Linked DNA regions of Caenorhabditis elegans. The protein of the gene in region 1 interacts with the protein of each later gene in a pairwise test. Each region holds a gene or a part of one and is shown on either strand. Other genes may lie near its edges.

Region 1 (3,166 bases):
GAAGATATCCAACTGATTGATTTTTGTGTTTCTTCACATATGGTTGTCGACGGAACGTTGGCGGCTGCAAAATATTTTTTAAAAATTTGAAAATGCAAATATTGTGAATTTGGCAATAATTAAAGTAAATTTAAAACGATTTTTGCTTAGAGTTGTAGAGAATCTCAGATTCTTAACGTACCCCAGTCTGCTGATGGTTACTGTATCTGCTTCTGAATGCATGCTCAGTTTCTTTGAATGTATATGATGTCATCCTTGTAAATGATGCTTCGCGAACTTCATCCTCATTGTATCCCACCAATTGAAACTCAAATCGATCATTTCCGCTGGAAGAATCTCTAACAAGCACGGAAATATCAAAATGCTCAGAGGTAATATCCACAGGTGCTTTTGTTATTTTTCTGCCTTGTATTTTCTTTGCTGTACAAAAATCACAAGAGGCAATAAATGTTTTAACATCTTGTCGAACCGACCGCCAGTAGAGTTTCCGAAGCACGACCATCTGCCTATAAGTAACAATTGTCAGCTATTATTATAGTAGTTTTACTTACGTTCTTTTCTGCCCAAGATGACCAATAAGTTCGTGAATTCTCTCAAGGACTTTTTGAACTTCTCCTTTCTTCACTACTACTTTTGGAATAGTATTCGCAGACTTCTCGGGATTGTAATACAAAAGAGTTTCCCTATCGTCCGCCATTGAAAAACATTTACAACGAGCTCTCCAATGACTCGGCGCACTACGATCAAGACGAGAGGAGACACTTGCAGGAACTTGGTCCGTTCTGGAATAATGCTTTAAATTTATATTACTCAGGAAAAATTTTTTTTACGTTTTGAACATAACAATATCTTGATATTGGTCAATTGGCATTCCACCATATTCGCTTCCATCATGGGCTTCATAGTGAATACTGTCATCTTCATCATTTGCAACCATTTCCTTAAATTTGAATAAAGAAAATTAATGATTCAAGCACACTCACTCTCATATCATTCATATCGTCATCCACTGCAATTTCCTCATATCCTTCGACTACCATGTTGTCGTCAACTATCTCAGTACTGTTCATTAACATCATCAGCTGAAATTTAAATTAAAATTTTAAGAAAAAACTCAAAGTGCCCAAAACAACAAGAACGAACAATTGGAATAATGTTGAGTACTTTTAAATGGTCTATTATAAATATTTTTGAATTAAAATATATTTTTAATATGTTTAAATTACCGCCAGAGTGAGCAGAAAAGGCCCGAAACGTCACATATTGACGCGTTCGGTGTGACGAGCGCAAGACTAGACGACCGCGACGCGACCGCTACGCAGCGGAGAGAAAAGAAAATTGTGCAAGTGCGCTGTGTTGAACTACTCGCCCAGATTAATTTTCGCAATTTTGACTCGATTCTCAGCATTTTCAACTAGAAAATAAAGTTTTTATTTCCATTTTTGAACTCCTTATCGATAGTACCATGCTTATTTCTAAGAAAGCCTTCTTTGTTTCGCAAAGCTGGATAGTATTAATATGTTTTGAACATGTAACTATCGGTTTAAAAAATATAGATTGTAAATGAATTCAAATCATATCGGTTCTTCTTTTTCTGATGTTCAAAATATTCTGTATTCCGTTTCAATGTAGCTTTTCTTCTCAACTTTCTGGATTTCTCTTCAACACTTTTTCCTAGATGTCTTCCGAATCACAATCGAGCAGCAGTGGGCCGTCGTCCAGTGGATCAAAAATGAAGGATTTCAATCAGAGGTTCCGTGATCTTCACAAACTCCGCCAAAGAGCGAGAAAAGAGAATCACGAACAGGTTAGTGTTTTAACGTTTACATTTTCAATTATAATTTAAAATTGTAGGTCGTTGAAGAAGATCGTCGCAGCAAACTTCCAAAAAACCACGAAGCAAAAAAGGAAAGAGATCAATGGCAGGTTAAAGAGCTACAAGATCGAAAAGCTGCAGAAGACAAGGGATTGGACTATGAACGTGTTCGCAGTTTAGAGATGTCTGCAGATGTTACTGAGAAGCTTGAGCAAAAAAGAAAGAGAAAGAAGAACCCAGATCAAGGATTTACTTCTTACGAAGATATGACTCTTCGTCAACATACTCGCCTGACTGCTGCTCTTGATCCAGATCTTGATTCTTACAAAAAGATGAGAGAATGCGTTGGAGGGGAACAGTTTTACCCAACTGCTGACACACTTATTCATGGTAAGGAGCAAAACTCATAATTTCAAAGAAAAACCAAAGAGTTTTCAGGAAATCACTATCCGACAACTGCTGCAATGGATAAGCTCACTAAAGATGTTCACGGCCAAGTTAAAAGACGAGAACAATATCATCGTCGTAGACTTTATGATCCTGACGCGCCAATTGATTACATCAATGAGAAAAACAAGAAATTCAATAAGAAACTGGACAAGTACTATGGAAAGTACACAGAAGATATCAAAGACGATTTGGAACGTGGAACAGCTATCTGAAACCGAGGATCGCTTTTTTATTTTCTTTTTCAGACATTTTTTCAACTTTTTTTCTTCTTTTGTTTTGTTCTTCATCTTCCCATTCCATACTATTTTCTCTCTTCTATTCGATAATCTTTGTACCTACAAAACTCAAATAATAAATAAAAATTATTTTCAGGTGACATGACGGCATTTCTACCTCCCAATCTTCTGGCGCTTTTCGAAGCACGACCACCAGTGCAATATCTTCCACCATGCCAGGACCTACTAGTGGACAAAAATGCTAAAAGGGCTCCGATGACTGGAGTTGCTCAATATATTCAATTATTTGAGGTTTGAACGTAACTTTATTATTTTGGAAGCTATTTTTTTTTCAGGATCCGAAAGATACTCCAGCAAAAATCCCAGTAGTAACAAAAGCTGAAGCAAAAGAAGAAAAAAGACGACAAAAAGATGAATTGTTAGCATATAAAGTAGAACAAGGAATCGCCACGTGGAATCCAGCTGAGAATCCAAGAGCTTCGGAGGATCCATATCGCACTCTATTCGTTGGACGAATTGCACGTTTTTTTAAATGTTAGAATGTGTTTTAGTTTATATTTTCAGAACTATGAAACGTCTGAAAGCAAGTTGAGACGAGAATTCGAAGCGTATGGTAAAATTAAAAAGGTAAGTGTCTCGTTTCTTCCAAGTTAAGCTTTCATTG
Region 2 (4,216 bases), on another chromosome or scaffold:
ACAGATTTCCCACAGACCTGTCAATTAAACTATTTCAAAAAAATACGTACCTTCTGGCGTCACGTTCTGCTGCTCTTCCAGCGGCCTCACCCATTCTTGCATTTCTTCCCTGCATACATTCTGCATGTTGATCCCTCATGTCTTGTCTTCTACGTACCGAGAGTCTTGAAGTCCTGGATTTCCCACAATCTCTTTTCTTATCGATAATCGAATTAATTTCGCCAACTTTTTCATTCAGACATTCTAAAAGACTACGGGAATACACTCGTAATTCTTGATACATTGTGTATTTGGTACTTTGGTTAGGAAGCTCCATTTCAATCTGAAATTATTAAAAAATGATATATATATATAATTATTGAAATACTTGTTACCTTTGCAATCATTGATTTGTTTTCTTCAATATTTTGCTCCAATTTTCGTTTTTCTTCTTTTCTGAAATTCAATGCTTCATCTCGTTCTTGAATCCGCAATTTTAATTTAGCAAGAATATCTTCAATTTTTACAACTCCTCCGGTATTTGATGGTCCTGAAATTAATTAAAATTATTTGTCTTCAAACAAAATAATATACCAGTAAATTCCGGTTTTCCAATTACTTGAACATCCATATCAAGATCAATATCCATATCCATTGCTGTGTCATCTTCAACAGGAACTGTATGCCCAAATAATTTAGAAGTATTTCGTTTTTCTGTTCGCAGTTGGCCTATCTATAATTTTTAAATTTTCAGATTCACGATCTCTATTACCACAAAAAGCTCACCTCTCTCCGACTAACAGCTTTCCGAATTTGTTGTTTTTCCCATTCCTCATTTTCACTATCATCATCACCTTTTATTCGTTCAGCTTCATCAATATCTCCATTTTCTCGTTCTAAAAATCCTTCTTGTTCTTCTCTACGACGATCTTCTTCTGTTCGAAGTAGCTCACGAGCCGAATAGAATTTATTTGTACACTCTTCATCCGAATCATCATTCTCATCTTCTCGAATCAATCGATTTCGTTCACTTTTAGATTTAAGTTTTTGTGTGTCATCCAAAGGAATATATCCGTCTTGATTTCCCTCTCTTCTGGCTCGTTCTCGGCGTTTTTTTGCTTCGAAAACGGCACGAGAGTCGGGAATACCTTCAAAAGCAGAATTGAATTTATTGGAAACTGATGAAATTGCTTCTGCATCAATATCCAAATTTTCTTCGTATTCGTAGCTCTCCGAATTCGAAATGTGCTTAGCAGATTTGTCACGATATTTGTCAAGGTATTTATGCCGCTCATTTTTCGTCTTTTTGTCTTCTTTTGAGAGTTTCTCCTTTTTCACAATTTTATCAAGCGCTTCCTTACGAATTTTCTCTTCCTTATATAATTTTTCAGCTTCCTCCTCTAGTTTGTGTTGACGTTTCAATTCTTCAACTTTTTTCTTGTCTTTCTTAAGTTTGAACGTCGAATCAGCTCCTTCATCAGCATCGAAACTCATGGCTGGACGAGGCACAGCAGGTTGTTTGACCTTTAAATAAAAATTAAATTAAAAAGAATGTTGAAATTCATTAAAACTCACTTCGATAGCCGAGACTACTTGTTGGTTTTCAGCATCAGGTTCATCCCATCCGTCAGATTTCCGTTGGCGAATAGCACCTTTTGCCTTTGGTTTACGGAACATTCTGAAAAACGTTTTGAGTAAAAAAAAAAGAAAAAAATGAGCGTTTAGCAAGAAAATTTGGCCAAAATTGATATTTGAAAATATTTTCGTAAACGAGACTGTCGTAAGATGTGCTGTTGGGTCTGCATACACCACGTGAGGTACTCTTTATGCATTATAACTTACGAGCAATTTAATGCTTATTATTTTTTTCGAAAAATTCAATTAAAAATTTTACATATTTACTCTTTATTGTTTCTGACTATTTTTTGCCGAAATTAAAAAGGGTTAATTTTAAAAATAACTTTCAGAATGGGAGATTATGTACCTGGATTTGAACAACGCGAAAGCGATAATCGAAGTTTCGGACATTCGCGTCTTCCGACTCTTGGAGCCATTCCAATCAAAAATGAGAAAGGACAAACTGTTATGCAGAAAGTGAAAGTTTCAAGATATGTGGCTGGAAAGGCGTAAGTTTTTTTTCGTTTAATGGTTGAATTAGTCTTTAAAACATTGATTTTCAGACCAGAATATGCTCGTAACTACGACAGTGACAGCAGTGAATCAGACCGAGAGACAGATCGAGATGATGATCGAAGAAGACGTAGACGTCGTGAAAGTAGTGATGAAGAAGATAGAAGACGCCACAGAAGACACGAAGATTATGGTAGACGACGACAGGTGGAGAAGCCAGAAGTTCTTGGAAAAGTAGAGGACGAATCATCTGAAAATGAACAGGAATCTGAAGAAGACGAAGAGAAACAAGAAGAGAGAAGAGAAAGAGCCAGAATGAGAAGATTGGAATTACATGAAAATAACAGAGAAAAAGATGAAGAACAAGAAGACAGTGCTGAATCAGATGAAGAAGATTTTGAAAGAAGACGTCAAATGCTCAGAGATAGAGCTATTAAAAGAGAGGAAGAAATAAAACGAGAAATTAAAGAAGAACTTGAAGAAGATGATGTTGAAGAGGAGGAAGAAGAAGAAAGTAGTGAAGAGGAAGATTCAGATGAAGATGACGATCCAGTTCCAAGATTGAAGCCTATTTTCACAAGAAAGAAGGATCGTATCACTTTGCAAGAAGCCGAGAAGGAGAAAGAAAAAGAAATTCTGAAAAAGATCGAAGACGAAAAAAGAGCTGAAGAACGGAAGAGAGAAAGTGCAAAATTAGTTGAAAAGGTTCTTCAAGAGGAAGAAGCTGCTGAGAAAAGAAAAACAGAAGATCGTGTTGATTTGTCATCTGTTCTAACCGACGATGAAACTGAAAATATGGCATATGAGGCGTGGAAGCTCAGAGAAATGAAACGATTGAAGGTAAATTTTTGCTGCAAAATTTTGAATGTAGATCTTCGAAGTTTTTTTTTTGAGTTTTTTAATAAATTGACATAGAAATTTCTCAAAAAAATTCTCACTATAATATCCGATATCCAATTTTTTTTTGCAGAGAAACCGTGACGAACGTGAAGAAGCCGCACGCGAGAAGGCAGAACTTGACAAGATTCACGCAATGTCCGAGGAAGAACGACTCAAATATCTTCGTTTAAATCCAAAGGTTATCACTAACAAACAGGACAAAGGAAAATACAAGTTCCTTCAAAAATATTTCCATCGTGGAGCTTTCTTCTTGGATGAAGAAGATGAAGTACTCAAGAGAAACTTTGCCGAAGCTACCAACGATGATCAATTTGATAAAACTATTCTGCCGAAAGTTATGCAGGTAAATACTCGTAACTTATTATAGTGATAATTGAACTAAATTATTTATTTCAGGTCAAAAACTTTGGAAAAGCATCTCGAACCAAGTATACGCACTTGACAGAAGAAGATACAACAGATCATCAAGGTGTTTGGGCATCAACGAATCAGTTGAATTCTCAATTCTCCACGAAAAGAGCCGGAGGATCCAGACCAGTTTTTGAGAGACCTGCAACAAAAAAGCGAAAGAACTGAAAAAGCTTGCACATTCCTGAAAATCCCAATTTTTTGTACTTCGATTTCTATTTATTTGTTTTCTAAGAATAAAAAATGTTTCAGAGTAATTGTGCGATTAAAATACACCAGTACAATACGTGTTGCAGTAGCAATTATTCAACGCCAAAGTTCAAAGTTCTCGTCATACCAGCTAATGCAAAGGACAAACACAACTGTGTGTTCGAAACAAAAAAAACCAACAGACGGTTCGTTTCTCCCCTCATTTGGTTTGTGAACCTCTCCTATTCGGACTTTCAAATGTTTTATTGAGAATTCCCATATCGACTCTCGTTTTCATATTTTTCAAATGCATTCAACCTAAACGAGCCGCTCACCATTCGTCCTTGTTTTTTTCTATTCCTTTTCAAGGTTTTCGTCATCATGTTGTGAGGAGTGTGTTGTCGATCGCCACCTTTTCCGATCGGTCGACTCTTGAAAAGTGGTTTTGCGTTTTTAATTAGAAAAGGGTCATTGGCGTGTTTGTATGCATGTTTGCAAAGTGTCCTATTACCGGTACAGAGAGTGTAGATAGTTAGAGAGTGACAGACATCCGGGACCCAATGGGGCGGGACGCGCGGAAGAGACGATTTGTGCCGATTTACGAAATTTT

Evidence for each region. Proteins that work in one complex are often made in the same cells at the same time.
Region 2: the proteins of syf-2 (region 1) and mfap-1 interact in a two-hybrid assay, tested with the Caenorhabditis elegans proteins (one study listed by BioGRID).

What each region holds. Positions count from the first base shown.
Region 1 is NC_003281.10:7,160,628-7,163,793, reverse strand, and holds syf-2 (Pre-mRNA-splicing factor syf-2), read left to right. Parts: upstream 1-1,678; coding exon 1,679-1,807; intron 1,808-1,854; coding exon 1,855-2,206; intron 2,207-2,254; coding exon 2,255-2,478; 3' UTR 2,479-2,634; downstream 2,635-3,166. Other genes in the region: K04G7.1 (Integrase zinc-binding domain-containing protein), read right to left, coding at 1-64, 182-506, 552-782, 831-940, 984-1,040; rnp-7 (U1 small nuclear ribonucleoprotein 70 kDa), read left to right, coding at 2,644-2,793, 2,838-3,020, 3,067-3,129.
Region 2 is NC_003279.8:8,637,967-8,642,182, reverse strand, and holds mfap-1 (Microfibrillar-associated protein 1), read left to right. Parts: upstream 1-1,946; 5' UTR 1,947-1,947; coding exon 1,948-2,105; intron 2,106-2,159; coding exon 2,160-2,949; intron 2,950-3,079; coding exon 3,080-3,352; intron 3,353-3,405; coding exon 3,406-3,585; 3' UTR 3,586-3,669; downstream 3,670-4,216. Other genes in the region: mog-7 (GCF C-terminal domain-containing protein), read right to left, coding at 51-322, 375-529, 574-712, 766-1,503, 1,555-1,656. UniProt on the Caenorhabditis elegans protein: Involved in pre-mRNA splicing.